Linked DNA regions of Alligator mississippiensis. The protein of the gene in region 1 purifies or fractionates together with the protein of each later gene. This does not show direct contact. Links are inferred from orthologs where the notes say so. Each region holds a gene or a part of one and is shown on either strand. Other genes may lie near its edges.

What was found. The genes of interacting proteins can lie anywhere in the genome.
Region 2: the proteins of MAP1S (region 1) and STK4 purify together in Homo sapiens (affinity purification with mass spectrometry; 3 studies listed by BioGRID and IntAct, with this or other methods). This does not show direct contact. The link is inferred for Alligator mississippiensis from reciprocal best matches to the Homo sapiens genes MAP1S and STK4.

What each region holds. Positions count from the first base shown.
Region 1 is NC_081839.1:2,080,801-2,091,388, reverse strand, and holds the start of MAP1S (microtubule-associated protein 1S), read left to right. Parts: upstream 1-6,650; 5' UTR 6,651-6,683; coding exon 6,684-6,807; intron 6,808-9,325; coding exon 9,326-9,427; intron 9,428-10,588. UniProt on the Homo sapiens protein: Microtubule-associated protein that mediates aggregation of mitochondria resulting in cell death and genomic destruction (MAGD). Plays a role in anchoring the microtubule organizing center to the centrosomes. Binds to DNA. Plays a role in apoptosis.
Region 2 is NC_081832.1:16,838,100-16,847,864, reverse strand, and holds the start of STK4 (serine/threonine-protein kinase 4), read right to left. Parts: upstream 4,833-9,765; 5' UTR 4,621-4,832; coding exon 4,589-4,620; intron 189-4,588; coding exon 108-188; intron 1-107. Other genes in the region: TOMM34 (mitochondrial import receptor subunit TOM34), read left to right, coding at 5,215-5,335, 7,778-7,877, 8,687-8,839. UniProt on the Homo sapiens protein: Stress-activated, pro-apoptotic kinase which, following caspase-cleavage, enters the nucleus and induces chromatin condensation followed by internucleosomal DNA fragmentation.

The DNA.
Region 1 (10,588 bases):
TCCTGTTTCTGGGTATGGCTGTGGGGGGCAAAGGGCTGGAGACCCCCTGAGACCAGCATGAAGCCCAAGCCAGGTCCCTCTGCAGCACCTGACCATGCAGACAGGATGGGGCTGCATTCCCAGGGTGAGTTACAGCCCTCCCCGGGGTGCAGGGTGCAGTCTGCATGCAGCAAGACAGTGGGCACCACCAAGGCCTGCAGTGATGGGCTAGAGGGCTGAGCTGGGTGTGGAAGGGGGCCACAGAGCCAGACTGGGGGCCAGGGAGCTGGGGAGAGATGCAACAGGGGGTCCTGTCCACCAGCGCTGTGGGGCTGGGGCTGCTCCTAGCAGAAAACCCTTTAGGATCGTGGCTGTGCCCATGCCAGGCTCTGCCCTGCCGGGTACATAGCAGGGTGCTCGGGGCCCTGGGTGCTTGCTGGCCAGTGCTGCCAGCACAGGGTGAGTGCTCAGTGCTGGGGGCAGCCAGAGGCCGCGGGAGCAAGGGGTGGACTGGACATGGCTCCAGGGTCTGGAGAAGAGGTGAGTGGGTCTGGACCAGAGCGCAGTGCAGCACGGGACCTGTCGATACAGCCCGACCGGAGCTCCCATGACCACGGCCCTACGTCCTGCCTGCACCCCATGATGTCTGGCCCCCAGGCTGGCGGGGCCTGTAGGGGGGAGGAGGGATGGGTGGCTCTGCCAGGCAGGGAGCCTGGGCAGAGAGGGACCAGCAGGCCTAGGGCAGAGAGCCTGTGTCCCTGGATGCTGCCACCCCCCTGCAGCCAGGGCTGTGGATGGGGACCCAGCTGCGGGTCCCCTGCCAGCACAGGGCCACATCCCAATCTGCGGGGGTGGCATGAGGCTCCCAGGGCTGGAGCCGCTGCCCGCGCCCCACGCTGCACCAGCTGCACCAGCCTGCTCCCGGCAGGAAGAGGCAGACGATTGAGGTCAGGCCGGAGTGGCCCCTGCTCGGCTCTGCTGTTTGCCTTTCCAGAGGCAGCCGGTTCGGCCTCCAGCTCGGAGCCCTGGCTATTAACCTCCTCAAGGAGCGGAGCGCGGGACCGCGGGCGCCTGCCTCTTGCAGCCTGCACCCCGGCTGCTCCCCTGGCAAGGGTGAGCTATAGGCAGGCAGCTCCCTGCCATGCACGCACTGGCTCCATGGGGCAGAGCTGGCCGAGGCTGGGAGATGCCCTGCACAGGACACACCCAGGGCTCAGTGCCCAGTGGGCACCGCCACACCCATGCAGAAGTGCAATCATGGCCACAGCTGGCCTGGAGCGTGGCCCTCAGGATGGGGCACTCGGGCTCGGACCCCGCTGCCAGGCCAAGCTGCTCGCCTGCCTCCCGCGGCCGGGCTGCAGTGGAGCGCGGTGGGGCCGCCCAGTTTGGCCGGGAGGCGAGCGTGCAGAGAGGGGGTCTCGGGCCCAGCACAGACCTGGCCTCGCCGCGCGGGCCAGAGCAGCAGCTGAACGGAGCGGCTCCGGGGCCAGAGCAGCTGGCCCAGTCCGGCCAGGAGATGAAGCAGCGGTGGTGACATCACCCCATCGCTATGGAAGCAGTGAGATCATGGGCCGCACGCTCCAGGGCCCGGAGCCAGCTCCCAGTAAGTGCTTCCTGGGGGGAGAGACAATGAAGCCAACACATGTTCCCCTCCCCGCCCGGTCCCCTCTGACCAATAACCCTCCGCTGATTGATAGCGCTGTCCGGCCGGGGCCCTGCCTCCTTGATGGATGTGCGGGGAGGCTTCACTTAAGGGGAAACTGAGGCACACTGGCCTGCCCTGGGCCATGCGGGCCAGGGGCTGCGCGGCATCGGTGCCAGGGTCTGGTCCTACCTGCGATCCAGCTGCTGGTGATTGCTGAGTGAGATGCACGTCGTGGGATCAGTGTCAGCCCCAGTGTTTTGGGGGTGGTACGGGGCAGGCAATGATGGTGCTCTTCCAGACTGTGTAGCCTTTGGGGGAGCCATTTCTGGAAGGGGTAACGGGACAGTCTCCCTCTTGGGAGGTCTGCCCCCTCCTGCGTCCAGAAGTCACCCCGAGAGCCCGGCCTGCCCAAGCCACCCTGCCCCTCCTTTGCTGTCCAGCTTGCTCAGGCCAGGGGGGCCCAGGGTCCCCAACCGAGGGGGTAGCAGGGAGGGGTCTCACTTGCTCTCTGGGATGCCTTCCCCCAGCTCTGAGCCTGCAAGCCCGGGTCTGGCTGTGCAGAGCAGGGGGCTCGGCCTGCATCCAGCGAGCCGGCAGCCCCCCACCCCCAGCCATATGGCTCTGCGGAGGGGAGCGAGCGCTCCCCCCCTCCGCCCGCTGACATTTGGAGCAAGGAGGATGAGGTCAGCTCCTCCAGGCAGCCGCCTTCCCCGCTCGACCCTGCTGCAGATGGGGCCACGTCGCTCCAGGCCTCTCGGGGCCAGGGGAGCAGCGCTCTGGATCCTTTGGCATTTTCCCTGCCCGGTAGCCTGTCGGGACGACTCGGCGGCTTTGCGATGTGATCTGTGTCTCTCCTCCCAGGGCATCTGGCAGCAGCTGCCGGGGCATCAGAGGAGGCTGCGGCCCGGTGGCTCCTGGCCGAGCAGCTCTGTAGGTTCCTCTGCCCACCCCCACAAGGAACCGGGGAGCCCCGGCGCCCCACCACCACCCTCCACATCAAGGCTGGCAGGGAGGGGAGCAGGGGGCTGGTACTGAGGGGTCCCTTGGGGGGCTAGCGAGGATGCCGAGGGTGGGGAGGAGGGAAAGCTTCCGGGGCTGGGGGGGCTCCTGGTCTCAGGCCGTCTTAGGGTGCAAGGAGGTTTGGGGAGCCAGAGAGCCATGCCCGTCCCCTCCCCCCCCCCACAAGCAATTGCTAATCAGTTCAACCAGGCTCTCCCCTCTCTCTCTCAAACCCTCTCCTCCCCCTGCATGGACTCCTTGTCTCTTTTCCCAGCCCATCCCTTCCCTGGACCCTGATTCTTTTCCCTTGTGGGGTGATTTTAGGTGAAGTCCTGTCCCCTGCCTGGGCATCGGTTTTGCCATCTGTAAAATAGGAAGAAGAAGGTGAGGGATAGATGAAAAGCAAACTTCCTCTGTACCTGGGGAGCTGCGTGCATGTGTGTGCATGCATGTGCATGTACGTAATAGAGACTCTCCAGTGCTCCATCGCTCGGTCCCATCGGCAGGTGGCAGCTGTCCATCGCATTTTCTGCGCTAAGGGCTCCAGCCGGCAGCTGCCGCTCTGGACAGACCATCCCATGGTATTCCCTGGCCGGTCTCCAGTGGTGGCTCTAGCTACCTCCGTCCCAGCTTCTTCCCCAGGTGCAGGGCCCCTTCCCTGAGGCAACGGCTGTAAGTGCTTTCTCCGTGTCGCCAGGACTTAAATTGAAGTTGCACAGATCATGCCCTGGGCATCCAGCAGCTGGGACATGCACGGGACCCATCTCCACCCCATAACTGGTGAGTTCAGCCTGCAAATTGTCCCCCTTATTGCCCCAGAGTCACATGCAAGAGGTCAGTAGCCACGGCCCGTTTGGCCCTTCGCTTCTCTCTGCTGGACTGCCCACAAAGGTACCACTTTGCTGCCCATTGCAAGCAGGAACAAGGCCACTAAAAAGCCACCCTGTGTTCCCTGCCTGCTGGGCTGCCAGTTCCCTGGGGCAACGCGAACACGCCAGCACGCCTGCCTTGCAGCGCCTAGATCTGCCCTCATGGCTGCAGCATGAGGTCACACAGCAGTGTCGGCACACTTGTGTCGTGGGTGTTGCAGTAGGAGCCAGAGCCAATTGCACTAGAGCTTGCACATTTGTGTGGAAAGAGACGGGCCTGGCAAACAAAACACACCAGCAGAAACAAGAAGGAGTCTTGGCTCCAGTTTGCAGACGGGGAACTGAGACCCAGCAAAGTGACTTGACCAGGGTCAACCAGAGAGCAGTTGTGGAAGCTGAACCCAGGTGTCCTGGCTCCCTGTCTGCCTTAGCTCGGGGTGGGCAAAATGCAGCCGGGGGGCTGGATGCGGCCCACCAGGCCATTCTATCTGGCCTGCGGGGCCCCTAAAAAATTTAGAAAATTAATATTTATCTGCCCTGTTATGCGGCCTTCGATGGCTTGCCAAAACTCAGTAAGCGGCCCTCTACCAAAATAATTGCCCACCCCTGCCCTAGCTGCTAGGTCAACCTGTCTTGCAACACCAGGTCACATGGGATTGTTTCCCAAGGTTGTGTGTGTGTGAAAGCCTGTTCCCGTGTGCATGTGTGCTTGCACAGGTGTGTGTGCTTCTGTACAGCTATAGATTTAGCTCTAGAGAGAGAGCAAGGATAACCAGATCCATGCTGGGACGCTCTTGCTGAAACCCGCTGAGCAGTAAATCCACAGATTTCACAGACATTCGGGCTGGAGGGGACCCCGGAGGATCATCGAGTCCAGCCCCCTGCCCAGGGGCAGGAAGTCAGCTGGGGTCATAGGATGCCAGCAAGATGAGCATCCAAATTTCTCTTGAAGGTGTTCAATGTAGGTTCATGAACCACCTCCGGTGGCAGGCTGTTTCAGACCTTGGGGGCTCGGACAGTGAAGAAATTCTTCCTTATGTCCAGCCTGAAATGGTTTTGCTGGAGTTTATGACCGTTCGACCTTGTCATCCCTTGGGGCGCTCTGGTGAACAGACATTCCCCCAGATCCTCGTGGTCACCCCTGATAGACTTATAGGTGGCCACCAGATCACCCCTGAGCCTGCGCTTTTCCAGGCTAAAGAGCCCCAGGGCTCTCAGCCTGTCATCGTAGGGTCTGCTTCCCTGAGCTCTGATCATGCGCGTGGCTCTTCTCTGGACTCTCTCAAGCTTCTCCACAGCCTTTTTGAATCGTGGAGCCCAAAACCGGACGCAGTACTCCAGCTGCGGCCTCCCCAAGGCCAAGTACAACAGGAGTATGACAACCCCAGGATTTGCTTGAGAAACATCTTTGGACGCAAGCCAGCGTTTTGCTCGCTTTACTAGCCGCAGCATCGCACTGCAGGCTAATGTTTATCTTGTGGTCAATCGTGACCCCCAAGTCTCTTTCTTCCATAGTGCTAGCCAGCGTAGCACTGCCGAGCCTATAAGGATGCTACGGGTTTTTCCTCCCAAGGTGGAGAACCTTGCATTTATCGGCGTTGAACACCATCAGATTCTCATCTGCCCACTTGCTGAGCCTGTCCAGGTCAGCCTGGATCACCCGCTTGTCTTCTGGTGTGGATGCTTTGCCCCAAAGTTTGGTGTCATCGGTGAACTTGGCCAGTCCGCTTCTGACCCCAATGTCCACATCATTAATGGAGATGTTGAACAGTATGGGTCCAAGGACAGAGCCTTGGGGGACCCCACTGGTGACCACACACCAAGACCGTCCACCACCACCCTCCGGGTCTGACCACGGAGCCAACTCCCAGTGGCGGGAATCCAGGCACAACCCAGCCGCGTGGGCCGGAGGCTCCCCGCATGGAGCTGGCACCAGACAAGGAGCCGGTGGAGGGGCGCCTTTCTGCACCCTCCCCATTCGTGACACTCTCGACACAGCCTGCGGCTGGAAATGCAGAAGTGGCCGAGGAGCCGGCGACCGTTGGCAGCTGCGCGCCTCTCCTGGCAGTTTCTTCTCCAACAGGAGTTTCTCCATCTCCAGCAGACCGCAGGCCGGGGCCCGGGAGGCAGCTCTCCCTGCAGGCCGCGCCGTGCTGGTCTCAGGGGGGCAGAGGGCAGGGCAAGGAGCAACGGGCCCAAGTTGCAGCAAGGGAAGTTGAGGCTGGAGAGTAGGAAAACCTCTCTCAGGAGGAGGGGGGTAACGGGTTACCCCGAGAGGTGGTGGCATCTCCATCCTGGGCCCGGGTTCACAAAGCCTGCATGCAGCGGGGCTGGTGATGTGAGCTCCCAGCTCTGCCCAGCCCTCTGTTGTTCAGGGATTGTAGGGGCAGGTGCAAGCTGCCCGGGCGCAGGAGGCTGCAGGCGGGGGCAGGGGCAGGTGCCCACAGGCTTTGCCTTTTCTCTCCCCCTGGACAGGCTCTGAGCCTGGATGGGAGCTGCCAGCCTGGGGCCACCCATGCAGGGGGAGCAGAGCCCGGTCCCTGCCCCGGAGCCACGTGGGGCCCTTTGCTGTCTGCCCCTGCGGGGGGGCTCCGGACCCCCTGGGTCTGCAATGCATTTGGAGGTGCAACAAAGGGGGGGCTCTGGACCCCCTGGGGCTACCATGCACCCAGGGGGAGATGCAACAAGGGGAGTCTCCAGCCCCCTTGGGGGTGTGATGCATCTGGGGGTGCAACAAGGGGGGTCTCCAGACCCCTTGGGGGTGCAATGCATTTGGGGATGCAACAAGGGGGGGGTCTCCGGACCCCTTGGGGGTGCGATGCATTTGGGGGTGCAACAAGGGGGGGCTCCGGACCCCTTGGGGGTGCAATGCATCTGGGGGTGCAACAAGGGGGGGCTCCGGACCCCTTGGGGGTGCAATGCATCTGGGGGTGCAACAAGGGGGGGTCTCCGGACCCCTTGGGGGTGCAATGCATCTGGGGGTGCAACAAGGGGGGGGTCTCCGGACCCCTTGGGGGGGGGTGCGATGCGCCAGAAGGGGGCGCAGCCGGGGGCGGGCCGGGCGCGGCGCGCAGCGGGACTCCTGCCCCTTTAAGAGCGGCGGCACCACCCCCGGCCCATACAAGGGCAGCGGTGACATCAGCGGGCGGGGTTTCCCGGTGACGTCAGGGCGGGGCGCGGGGGCCCCGAAGATGGCGCTGGCGGCGGGAGCGGGGGGCGCGTCCGGGCCGCGCCGGCACTCGCTGCTCGTGATCGTGGGCGGCGGCTGCAGCCGGCCCGGCCTGCTGGGCTCCGTGCTGGGCGAGCTGGAGCGAGGTGAGCCCCGCCCGGCCCCGCCCGCAGCCTCCTCGCCCACCCCCCTCCCCCGCCGGGGGCGGGGCTGCACCCAGGGGGGAGGTCTCAGGACCCCCCCCCCCCGTGGGGCTGTGATGCAGAGGGGGTCTCTACCCCCCCCCCATGCGGCTGTAATGCACTGGAGGGGGAGGTCCTGACCCCCCCCCCCCCCGTGGGGCTGTGATGCAGAGGGGGTCTCTACCCCCCCCCATGCGGCTGTAATGCACTGGAGGGGGAGGTCCTGACCCCCCCCCCCCCCCGTGGGGCTGTGATGCACTGGGGGTGCTGCCCCCCCCCGGGGGCTGCCATGCACCCGGCAGTGCACCACTGCATCCTGGCTCCGCTGGACTGGAGATGAGGGGGGTGGGGGGGCGAGGAGGCCGCTCTTGTATGCCCCCCCCACCCGTGGCCTGGCCGTGGGCTGAGCGGGGTTCCCGGAGCGCTCGTGGTCGCTGCCACGCGGCGGGGCCGGCGCTCGGGGCCTGTGTCGGGTTGGCTCGTGGGACTGGTGCGGGTGGGAGCAGCAGTTCATGGGCGGGGGGCCCCGAGGCTCCGTGGCCTCGTGCGGGGTGGCTCCGCCGCCCCAGGGGCTGCTCGCCTGCCTGGCTGTGCGCGGTGAGTCACGCGTGCAAGGTGCGTGGCCCCGGGGCGTGCGGGCAGGCACCTGTCTCCTGCAGGAGCGTCGGGGAGCACACCTGGAGCTGTGCGGCACGCCCGGCGCTGCCGCCCGCCTGCCCGCCCGCCCGCCCGCTCGTGGACCCGTGGCATGGTTCGGCCCAGGCGTGTGCGAAGGGAGACCTGTGCCAGGCCGGGCCGGGGGCTTGTGCACGAGGCTGCAGGGGCGTGGGGGCTGCAGGCGCCGTGACAGTGGGCAGGTGGCTTGTGGTTGCCTCGTTAATGGACTTAATGGCTTAGCGGCGGTGGGAGGCCCAGGGTCCCGCTGGGTCACGGCCGGCTGCTCGGAGGAGCAGGATTACGGCGTGTCCGGACTCGTGCCAGGCCAGAGTGCCACTGGCCTGCACGTTTGGCTCGTGCCACACGTGGTCTCCCCGTTGCTGGGTTTTGGGGGAGCTCCGGGTGACCCGGGGGGCGGCCTGGGCTGCTGGGTGCACGGCAGTGACCGAGCTGGGCAAGCGATAGCCCCGGTCTCGGACCCGGCCCTGCCTGTGCATAATAGCCCCGCTCCGGACGCTGACCGTGGGGCTGGCTGCCCCGCGTGAGTTGCCTGGGGCTGGGGCTGGGGCTGAGTCACGGGCTGACTGTCCAGCCACAGGCTGCTGGCTGGCCACGCGGCTGACTCGCTTCCCGGCGGCCCTGTGCCAGTCCTGCAGCCGGAGCCGGCCTGGCCTCGTGCCCCTGCCACTGGTGTTGGGGGCCGGTGGCCCAGGCGAGCTGCCAGGGGCGCCCCCCCAGCCTGGCAGCATCTCACCCTAGTCAGACCTTCGCCGGGTCCCTGCTTGCAGGGCTCTGGTGCGGTGCGTGCGGAGAGCGAAGGTCCCCACCCCGCCGACACACGCTGTTCGTCCCGGTAGTAAATGAGGAAGCTGGGGTGGAGGGGGCGGGGGCGGCACTGCCTTTCCTGCCCGCAAGGCAGAAGCTTCTCTCCCTGGTCACTACAGAGCAGCGTGGCCTGGCCTTTCGTGCCCAGCCCCTGCACAGGCAGGCTGGAGGGCATGGGGGGTGCCCGTCTCTGTGCCAGGAGGGTGCCGCGAGCTGCTCTGCAATGCATGGTGCTGTGCAGAGGGCACTGCCGCTTGATGGACTTGCAGGGATGGGCAAGCAACACCCGCCCGGGGCAGGGCAGGGCAGCACAGGGGGCTATGGACGCGGGAGCTGCAGCTGCTTTCCCGCCCGCCCTGGCCCTGCCCCGCTCGGATTGCCGGAGCCTTACGTAAGCCGGCGCTGGGCTGGGGATTAGAGCCGGTGACGTGAGCCCCCCTTCCCCGGAACGTGCTGCAGCTCCGGAGCCTGCAGTGTGTCTGTGTGCGCGTGCAAGGGGAGGGAGTCGGAGCGTGGCCAGGCATCTGGCCAGCGTGGGCATGGGAGGTGCATGGGTGCCCCTGGCAGGTGCTCTGGGGCCAGCGTGTGCTGGGCCCTAGTTGCCCTGGATGTCTGCGCTGCCCAGCACCTGGCAGGGAGCTGTGCCGTCGACCCCCTGTGCCCCCAGGTGCTGGAGGTCCAGATTTCCCTTCCCTGCCTTGCTGTGTCCCAGCTGCTGCCTCCCCTGTGTGGCAGTGCCCTGGGCTGCGTGCCCGGGTTGCTATCCTTGCACCCGCAGCTTTGTGGCCTGCGCACTGGAGCAGGATCCGGCAGCCTCCTGGGGGATGGGGAGGGGGCCAGAGGCCTGAGCAGGGGCTTGGACCTCCAGGCAGAAGGTCTCTGGGGCTCGCATCCGCTCTCTGTCCAGGGTTGGGCTGTGAGTGAGGGATTGGCTCCCGCTGAAGCATTGGCACTGTGCCCCATTTGCCCTCCCTTGGTGCTGACGGGCATCTCTCCGCAGGGATCCGCTCCTGGGACATCGATGTGGCTGCCTGCAACCTCGACGAGCAGCTGAAGCTCTTTGTGTCCCGGCACTCAGCCACCTTCTCCAGCATTGTGAAAGGTGAGGCTGGCGCCTGCTCCGGGCATGGGGCCCGCAGCTGTGTCTCCCCGCTGGGGGGGCGCGGGGGACCACCCGGCCCCCTGGGATGCTGCTACCCCTGGCTGGGGCAGCCTGTTGGCAGTGGGGCTAGGGGAGGTGCCTCCTGGACCTCTGTGCGTGGCTGATGCCCCGGGTGGCATCCCGGCAGGGTCTGGGGGCCTGCGCTGGGCTCGGGCAGGGCAGCTCGCACTGCTGCCAGCACCCCAGGCAGACAGGCCTCGTTCCCGGGGCAGGATGGAGGCTCTCCAGACTCGAGCACGAGTCCTGCTGCTCTCTTCTCCATGGGACCGTGGCTCAGCTGCCCTGCCGGCCCCGGGCACAGACAGGAGAGAGGAAGGCTGTGCTGCAGCCCCTCCTTCGGCGCAGGGAGCAGACCCCCTTGCTCCGGCTGCGTTGGCCCAGCCTGGGCAAACATTTAGCCGGGGCCATAAAGCCGCCTTTGTGCTCAGCGGCACCGCGCTCCTCGGCGCGCACAGATGCTCTCATTCATCTGCGCCCTGCTCTCTGGGAGCTCCCAGCCCCGGGGCTTTGGCCCAGCGACGCCTTGCTCGCGTCCGACTCGTGATGCCTGCACCTCCCACCCCCCCACAGCGCCAGGCAGGAGCTCCCCTTGCTTTGGACCCCTGTGCTGGGGGGAGAAGCTCTTGGGGTCCCCCACAATGCTGGCTGGGGCTGTGGGCTTGTCACAGGGGCTCTGAGGCTCCTGCCTGGATAGGGACAGGCAAGGTTTCCTGATGCTGCAACCTGCAGACTGGGGCTGGGGCATGGCAAGAGTGATTTTTGGGGGGGTTCCTTGGGGGTTACGGTGCCCATGGACTTGGGTCTGCTGCCCTGGAGGCCCCTTCCAGTCCCTGCCCCCCACCCTGAGCCTGCAGCCTCCGCCAGGGAACAGGCCTGGCTTTGTGGCAGGCAGCTGCTGCCGGAGCCAGTTGCTGGGGGTGGGGGGAGGATGCAACCTCCTGCCCCAGCCTGGGGGCAGCTCGGCATGTGCTGTGGGGTGCGGAGCCCTGGAGCCCCTTGTGCAGCTGGGGACAGAGGGTCCTGTCGTCCCCAACCCCCCTCCTCCCCCCCAGCCTGCAAACAGCTGCTTGACAAGGCTGAGGCACAGGCTGGCGAGGTCCC
Region 2 (9,765 bases), on another chromosome or scaffold:
TGATCCAACGCCAGGAACCAGTCACACTACCACCCCCACCTCTGGTAAAAAGAGAGAACATTACATGTGTAAGAGAAATGTTATACCCCTTTTTATAACATACTTACCCTTCCCCAAGCTTCTCCAGTACATCAAATACTTCTTCAGGTTGCTTGGTTAAACTATCTTCATCCAACTTCTTCAGCTGCCTATATACACAAGGGCATAGAAACAAAGGTTAAGATACTGTAATTTGGGTATTTCTTAGAACAGAAGTGTGAAACAAAGGTTTTAAAACATACAGCATTGAAAGTTTGACAAATATGTATTTTGTCATAATCATTTAAGATTTAGTCTGCCTAAGAAGTAAAATACGGTCACTAGATGCAAAATCAGAACACCAAACACTAAAAACAGCTTTGAGTCTTACAGGGAGCAGAGTTTTATCAAACATATAGATCTGTATTTCCTCTGTGCTGCAGGAAACAGTTATATAGCCAAGGCACCAGAATATGTAGGATCATGTTCGGGTGCACTTTATAGATTCCATAATTAACAACATTGTGTCTACTGCTTCCTGAACAAATCTTCTGCTAGCTTATAGATTTAGACTATGCAAAGACTATGCTTTTGTAGGACAGGGGTTGTTCTTTTTCTTGCTCATTTTTCACTAGAAATTCAGAACTTGTTCATCCTGGAAAGACAGAGCGACTGGTGAGCTGGTATGATGGAGTGAAGGGGAATGGAAGGAAAGGAAATCAATGAAAGTATAATGCAATCAGTCAAGTTGGAAAGTGATGTTAACAGTAAATTAAAAAGTGACCTAACACCTGGAGTTGAAACACTTATGAGGAAAGATGCCTTGGTTAGAGGTTCTAAAACTTCTTAGTCCCTTCAGTTGCAGGGGTGGGAGAAAGAGGGGAAAGAACCATGCCAATTTTATGCATTACAAACCAACAAGAAAAATGCAAATTTCTTCTCTCTTTTGCATATCATCTTTAACATACTTCAGAATTACTGACCAAGAAGCTACACATAAATCACTATCAAGTTCTAAACAGCTCTTAAGCATACAAACACCCAAAACCACATCTTTTAAGATCCACTAAGTAGCCAACACATGCCATAAGAAAAAGTGCATCACCTATGAACTAAAAACAGTTATATTATGGTTACAGAAGACAAAGAGACTTTTGTAGCTCTTTATCAAGCAATTCTTAAGTCTCTACATTTGAATTATATAAAAAACCGAAATGCACATGGCTGCCTGCTGTTTATAAATAACATGAGCTGTTGTCATTAAACATGAAGAAAACGGGCACAGTTTGTACCTAAGATACTAAAAATGTAAAAAGCTTTTGTGAAGTTGCTGAAGCTAGGACTGGAAAGCACTCAATGTGCATCTGCTATTACGTCAATATGCAGAAGCCATATAGGAGAAGCAAGATGCACATGGGCTATACATACAATGGCTTCCTGAAATGAAGGAAACAGTACAAGCAAGCAAACTCAGGAAGTGGCGAAATACTGAAAGTCACTAGGCTCTTTGCAATGATAAGCATTAAACCAAAAGAAGGTTACTTGTTCTTGCTTGAATAACAATACCTAGTCACCATTACCAAATAGCTTGAAATGTAGTAATCTAAAGGGCAGATACTACAGAATAAAGTGTGTAGAATTAGATCCAGCCACACACCAATTCTACATGATTTTAGAAGATCCAAACATCACATGAGCTCTTCAGGAGCCAATTTATTGCCTATTTCAAGTGACACTAAGCTTCCCTGTTCCTGAACATATTCAGAAATTCAATGGTATTCTTTCAGCATCTAATGAGCCTGAATCAGGAGTGATCCAAATTATCTAGGACACCCTGTCTTTTACAGCATACCTTTTTATAGAGGGTTAAGATGGAAACAAAAACAATTTTGCTTTCTGGAGTGTTCACATCTAATCTGGGTCAGGTATAGTTAAACTTCCATATAGACAATTATATACTAAATTATAGGTAAACTAAACACATTACTAACAGCAGATATTTTGCTCCCTTGTCAGTTAAACTAGAACAAAAAAAAGAAAAGAAAAGAAAGCCAGCTGCTATCTGTCACAAAACAAAGGAAACTGCCTCTTCTGCTCATCTCTCAAACATACAGTTAGAAACAGCTGCACACCACCGATAGTGTTCTGACAGACTGAAACTTCATTCAATTGCTGAAGTGCTTCCAAATTATCCTCTGTCCAGAGTTGTTCAACAACAGTCTGCAGTGAAATGATAGGCTACTAACAGCTTGGTTCACATGTCTTTGAAATCCCAAACTGACACTGCCTGCACACCCAACAGATGTTACTTATCAGAAAAAAGTAAGAGCGAACATTAAGGAATGTTAGCAACAGTATACAAGGCATTGAACTGAGCTTCAAAGGATAAACATCCTGTCACTGCTAGCTTGCACTTTTAACTGCTAAATGGAATAACTAGGAGATTAGAAAATAAATCATTTCATTCCCCGCCCCCCCTTAATACACATGTAATAAATAGTGGCCTTTGTTGATGAGTAACTTTAATTAAAAGGGAAGACACAAGTGACTTCCAAAAATCAAAATTCTACTTCCTTAGACTAAATATGCCCTAGGCCTTTCCCAAACTAATTAAAAAGAAATTTAACATCTGATTTGACATGTCTCAGTCAGTCCTAAAAGGAAAAGTTGGGGGGTTTTTTTGTTTTTTTTAAGAGTACAGAATGAATCTCCTATTGAAAAATGGAAGATTTTAAGTCATTAGTTTTTCATGATCTAGCAAGGTTTCAGACCTAGTTATACTAGCATGTTGTCTGTCATTCAAAAGTCCTCTTAATTAGACTTTTAAGATTAACTCCCAATATTAACTCAATCTACAATTAGAGGGAAAAAATGAACAGATTCATATTGCTGGCAACTTTTCATACTTCTACACTTTCAGGGGTTCTTTAGAGAAGGTTTGACACCCCCCATTATTTCCCATCAGCTTCCGGTTTTGCTTGTGAACAATATGAGCCAAAGGTTGCAACAGAATAAATTACACATCAGTTGATCCATTTCTTCCTCTTGGCTACTTAAATCATCTGGTTGTGAATTGCTCTGTCTAGGCTCCACTGCTCTCATCCATAGTCAGAGATCATTGAACCTTAAAATAGACAGGAACATTGGCAGAACGCAGAGAGAACATGATAGATCTCACCTAAAAAAAGAGCTTTGTGCAGTTTTGCAAGAGATACACAAGGTTATCACAACAACTGCTACCCCAAAATACCCCGAAATATTTCTAAGGTATTTTAAAGGGTCACCAGCTTGACTTCTAAAATCACCGGGAAGTGAACTTTCCCAAATGTCAAAGAAAACATAATTGTCATAGGATCTATGATACAGTGCACGTGCACAGATGAAGATAAAGCCCTCCAAATATTCTGCTATAAGGAAATGCGAGTTCCCTTAGCTATCATCACTTGCCAGACTTAGTGCTTGGAGACCTAGAAGTAATTACAGGGCATTCAGAACTCCAGACGGATTTACTTATGACTAACAAATATATTCCACACCATATAAATGGAATAAGTGCATCAGCAACAAGGAAATCCCACAAGTTTTGCTTTCCTCCATGAAATATTTTAGTTGCAACTCTAAGCAATATATTCTATTAACTAACTGATGCTCCTTGCACAGAAAGGAAAATTGTGAAGACGCTACCTCAGTCATCTTAGCTGTACCTACTGGGTTTCAGAGAAAAAGGGTATTATTAAGAAGACAACATTAGGTCTTTATTTGGACTTACAGCAATGACCAGATTTCCCCTCCTTTTACTCCCTTTTTTTTTCAGTGCCTTGAATACCAAAGGTTTTGGATTTTCCTGTTGCCTTACATAAAAAGGCAGGTTAAGCTGGAACATTTCCTCGAGTTCCCGATACCTATTTAGACTGGCAACCCCCAGAGAGCAAATGACTCTTATTCTGTGAAGAGCTGTGGGAATTCAGCACTTCAACAATGCCTCTTTGATCATGCTAAGGCAGAGGTGTCTTAAACATCACGACTACAAAAGCACAGCTCTCGTTTCCATGATTGGCAGTTACGTTGCCAAGACTCCCGTTCCTTGCCATACTTGCATTCGGTAACGGTGACTCGGTGTTGTTATTCAAGCAAGAACAAGTAACCTGACAGGGCCCCGAGGCCTTTCTTGCTTCACCCGGCGCCTTGCTTTCTGAAATAAGTCCGGTTACAGGCTGGACACGGCTCCTGCGTGACAAGCCCGGCTCCCCTAACCCCACATAACAACAATACACCTGCGAGGATGGTTTGAAGAAGGGTGGAACCCACGACCAAAATCCCCAGCCAGCAGGGGAGCGACTCCTCCGGCTACAAACAAACGACCTATTTAATTCGGGGCTGATTAATTCGGGCGAGATCGGACACGCGTCAATACGCAACTAAGTCGCAGCAGCCGCGACTACCCCGCGGTGGGGCGTGGGGCCGCCCCCGGCCCCGGCGGAGGTGCTGCCACCCCGGGCGCTCGGAGCCGCGAGTCCCCATGACAACCGGGTCCGCCGGCCCGCCCCCGCCTCGCCTCGCCTCTCCTCACCGGCGCGGGTTGCGCAGCTGTACGGTCTCCATGGCGCGGCGGGCCCGTGCGGGCGACGGCGGGAGACGCGCTCACTCCGCTATGGCCATGGCCACGGTGCCTCCTCTACCTCCCGCTCCACCGGCTCCGCGCGGCTTCCGCTCCGCTTCCGCCTCCTCCGCCCCCACACGCCGGAAGCGTGGGGCGGGGCCGAACGGCAGTCACGTGGTCTCGCGGAGAGGGCGGGGCTCCGCGCCTCCTGCGGCAGAGGGGCGCGGCCAGGCCGCGGGACCGCCCCCAGCCCGAGGCAGTTTCCCAGAATGCGTCGCGCCCTCCTCATGGGCGGGTGTGACTCGTCGCGCGCGTCAGGCCAGGCTCCTGCACGCGCGGTGTCCAGCCAGCCCCGCCGCGTAAAAGATGCGCCTAGTTTCTAGCCCTGCCCCGCCCCGCCCCAGCAGGGAGCCGGGCCCGGCCTTTCCCCGCCCCGCTGTCGCGAGACCCTGCCCCCGGGGGCGGGGCAGGGGCAGGGGCAGGGGCGGGGCCGAGCAGAAGCCGGCGGAGCTGCCCCGCCCCGGCTAGGAGCCGGCAGGAAGCGGCGCCCGGAGCCCCCGGGGAGCAGCCGACGCCCGACTGCGCCTGCCGGCCCCATGGCCCCCGAGCCGCGGGTCGCGGCGCTGCGCAGCGCCGGCAACGAGCAGTTCCGCAGCGGGCAGTACGGGCAGGCGGCTGCGCTCTACAGCCGTGCGCTGGCGCTGCTCGAGGCAGCAGGTAGGGGCGAGAGGAGGGCCCGGCTCGCCCTCTGCCTCCCGCCGAGCCTGGGGCAGGCAGGGGACCCCTCCGCGGGACACCGCGCGGCTGTGAGCTGAGCCCCCCCGCGCGGTTCCTGCCAGGTGCGGCCCCCTGGCCCGTCCGTCCTCCCGGGGCGCGCCAGGGCGGGGCAGAGCTGCTAGAGCAGGGCCCCTCGCAGCAGCGCGGCTCTGCCGACTCCCCCCGCGCCTTCGGTGGCCCAGTTTAAAAATAGTGCCGCGCGGTGGAGGGCAGCCAGCGGGTGACCTGCTCTCGTCATTGCGGAGGTAACGCGCGTTTGGCCGGCTGGACCCGCGGGGAGCGGCAGCCTCCTTGCCACAGTGCGGGTTGTTGCCTTATATGCAGAGCCCAGGCTCCTCGGCCTCTTGTCGGCCCGGATCAAGCACAGTCCTAACTTGCCTGGCAGGGGAAATGCCATGATCACTAGGCCTGTGTGAAACGGCTGGTATTCGCTTCGGATTTGGCCCATTTGGGGGACAGTGATTTGATTAAATGATTCGAATCGCTGTCCCGATTAGATTCCGCCAAATCTGATTCGGAGAGTCGGCAGCAGCCAAATTTCTGAATCAGCCAGGCCAGGCCCATCCCCAACCCCTCTCCCAGGTGGCAATGGCTGCCCCAGCTCCCAGCACTAGTAAAAAAATAAATAAAAAGCCCTGGATCACCAGGTGTTCCTGGGTGGGGGGTGATCCCTGCTGCCCCTCGCTGCATGGGGGCATGCTGCATGTCTCTGCATGACCCCCCCACCCCCCTGACCCTCCCCCTCACTCCTCCAGCCCCTTCCCATGTGTGCACCTCACGGGCCAGCTCTGGCCCTTTAAGGAAAAAAAAATGGAAACAACCCTGGGACTGGCTGCTGGGGGGGGCAATCCCCACACCATGCGGGGGACTCTGCGCAAGACCCCCCAGCTGCTGCAGGAGCAGTGAGTCTGGGGCTTTTCTCAAGTTTTTTTTTTTTTTCTTAAAGGGCTGGAGCTGGCCCAGGTGAGGCACCCGTGGGGGGGGTCGGGGGGCTTGTACAGAGCCCCCCGTGGGGCAGTGGGGGGGGCAGCAGGTTTGGACCCCCCCTGCTCAGCAGCACCCAGTGAGCACCGGGGCTATTTTATTTTTTTTAAAGTACTGGGAGCTGGGGTGGGCGGGAGCAGCCATGGTGGGGGGGGGCTGACCAGGGTCCCCTCCATGGTCCCCTCCCCCAGCCAGCCCCTCTTCCCCTGCCCCTAGTACTTACCAGTTCACAGTCAACTGCAGCTCCCTGCTGCAGCCACTGGGGACTGCCCAAGTCATCAAAGCTTTCCAAAGCTTTTCCGAAGATTTGGAGAGCTTTGAGTCGATTCAGACCTTTAAATTGGTCCCCTGATTTGATTCGGATTCTGAGATTCGGCCGCTGAATCGGGCCAAATCTCCTCCAGATAGAATCACTACCCAAAGCTTCACACAGCCCTGATGATCACCCTGGTGGCTTCCTAGTTGCACCTGGGGAAGACCGCTCTGCTGGCATGGAACAGTATCTGCATAGTTAATACATAGTTAACCCTGGCTTTATGCCCACCTTATGGAAATGGGAGACTCCTCCCTAGCTTGCTTCTGGGGCCTTATGGCTAAGGGCAAGCAAAACTTGGAGGCATCCAAACTCCTGGCTTGGGCCTGCAAGTAGGATGCCCACCAAAGGATTCGGGAACATCTGAAGACCCAGATGGGGGTGGAAGATGTTTGCCAGTAGTAGGGGCACCTATGGTTCTGGACTGACTCTCGAATTTGGAATTTGTTTTGGCAAATTTGGCTTGGAATTATAAAAATGTTCAGAAAATTATAAATTTGGCTTGGAATTATAAAAATTATAAAAAATCTTGGAAAATTATAATAATTAAAAAAAAATCACAATCCAGCCATGGCCCCACAGCACAACATAAACCCAGATGTGGCTGCCAAGGTCCCAAACTTGTTCCATCATAAAGTTGCTAGGGGCTTTTCTTTTTAAACCTTCTACAGGCTCATGTGTTCTGCTGTTGAGTGCTGTCACTACCAGCTGCAGCAATGAAAAAGACAGAATTATGAACCGGGAAACTAGAGACTGGGATCTTCTGAACTCTTAAGCCTAGATCTGATCCACATCGGGATGATCATTGTTTGCTTCTTTGGGGAGACTGACAATTAAGTACCTGATGCTTTGAAGATGAAAGATGAGCTTTATTGCTGGTACTGATCAGTAACTTTAGCAGTTGAGCTTCCAAATGGCTCTCTTGAGCCATACTTCAATATCTGTGAGATCCATCTTATTTTTAGTACCCCTTTTCTGGTGTAAGTAGAAACATCTAATACAGGAATTGGCCATAGCATGCACTGAATATATTGTCCCACATTTCCCACCTTGAATTTATCTTCTGTTTTTGTTTCTGCTCCTAGGGGAGAAGGATGCTGAGGAAATGAGTGTCCTCCATTCAAATCGAGCTGCCTGCTATCTGAAGGATGGGAATTGTAGCCTCTGTGTTAAGGACTGTACTGTGTAAGTAGCTGTTACCCAGATGAAAACCTAAACCGTGTTTTTGTTGTGAATGAAATAAGATAGTGTGTGGTTACCAACTGGGCCTTTCATTTAAGACTATTGGGAGGAAAAGTTAAGTACCTTTAGGGAACCATATAGTAGCCTCCATCCCAAACACTGGCATTGGTCAGCCACCCATAGCAAAACACATATGGGCGAAGCATTTTGCTTGGCCTTTTGTTGTTGGTGTCATTTAAACAAGGTGGGGAGAAGATGTCAAATTCATTTGCTTGAAGCAGTACAAAGGCCTCTCTTCCTTGCTAACCATGTATACATTACTTTTATTTTTTAATTTTTTAATACTGTTGAATTGGCCTTCCATTCCCTACTCACTCCTGCAGGATCATTCCCTACCTAAACCTTTCCACAGCTCTACATCTTTAGTTGTTCTGTAGCACAGCTGAACTGCAACCTGTGTCCATAGCCCTTGTCCCAGCATACTTTCCTGCTTTTGGTTTTGTTTATTCTGAGAAAAAAGTGACTGTCACTGGGAGATAGAATTAATATCTTTCTTCCTTTGTCCCCTGGCTACAACACTGCACACCTGAGAGATGCAGAAGTTCCCCATTCACTTCTGCAGGATCATTCCCTGTCAAGCAAATATTTCCAAGGTGCAATTCTGTAGTTTCAAGGTTGTGCCTTTAAAACTTAGTCATGAAAAGCTGATACCTGACAAACCCCCAGTCCATCAAGTACACCAACCTTCTCCTCTCTGCTGAACTTAACTCAGGTGGCCCAGTGACCTCTCTTGCTTCCTCCCCCTGATACAGTGCACTGGACCTTGTTCCTTTTGGAATCAAACCTCTGTTGAGGCGGGCAGCAGCCTATGAGGCTCTTGAGAGATACCAGCTAGCCTATGTGGACTACAAGACTGTATTGCAGATTGACTGCACTGTACAGGCTGCACATGATGGTGTCAACAGGTAACTTCTAAGTTTATACTGTTACACAAGCCAAAATGGAGGCTTGACAATACAGGCAGCAGCCTGGGTCACTCACAGCCCTGCTTTTAGGATGGTTGCTCATGGACAGGTTGGGTGACTTTGGATTCTGGTTAAATAGCAGAAACCCATTCATCTTCTACCCCTATGCTGTGAATTCTTTAGTGTTAGTGTTGTTTGCTGTCAGCCCTGCAGCTCTCTGTGCCCTTTATGCTACTTCCCTCCCTTCTAGCTGGTAAATGATACACTTGACTGTTCACACTTTCAAGCATTTTGCACACTGTTTATTCTTGAGCAGCTAATGAATGATAAGTGGTCATGATTCAATATTTGCCCCCTCCCCATTCTTACAGGATAAATATGAGTAAATATGACTGCAGTAGGCTTGACTCAACAAGGTCCACGATTAATGACAGGTACCTAAACCTTGCCACAGCTCTACATCTTCATTTGTTCTGCAGTACACTTCATAGCCCCAATCCCAGCATATGTTCCTGCTTTTGGTTTTGTTTCTTCTGAGAAAAAAAAGTCCTCTCTCTGAAATCTGGTTAGTAGGAAGAGCCTCTCTCAGCTTTTCATAAGGGGGCGGATGTGAGATGTGGGGACAAATTCCACAGTACTTAAGTTGCCAAAAGAGGCCCTGAACAAGGGGAATGAGATGATTCTGTAAAACAAACTTCTCTCTGTAAAAGCATCTTGTGAAATGTGAAGGAAGGAATAGGGTTAGATTAGAAATGGTTCCAGTCAAGCAGTCTTATTAAGCATCCTTTCTGAATGGCAGATACAGATGTCCTGTATTTACTTCCCTCTCTGGTTCTCCTCATGAAGATGCATGGCCTCATGATTCAGGAATAGGGCAATGGGAGATCTGGGTTCCGGTCCTATTCCTGACTTGATTTGTGACCTTG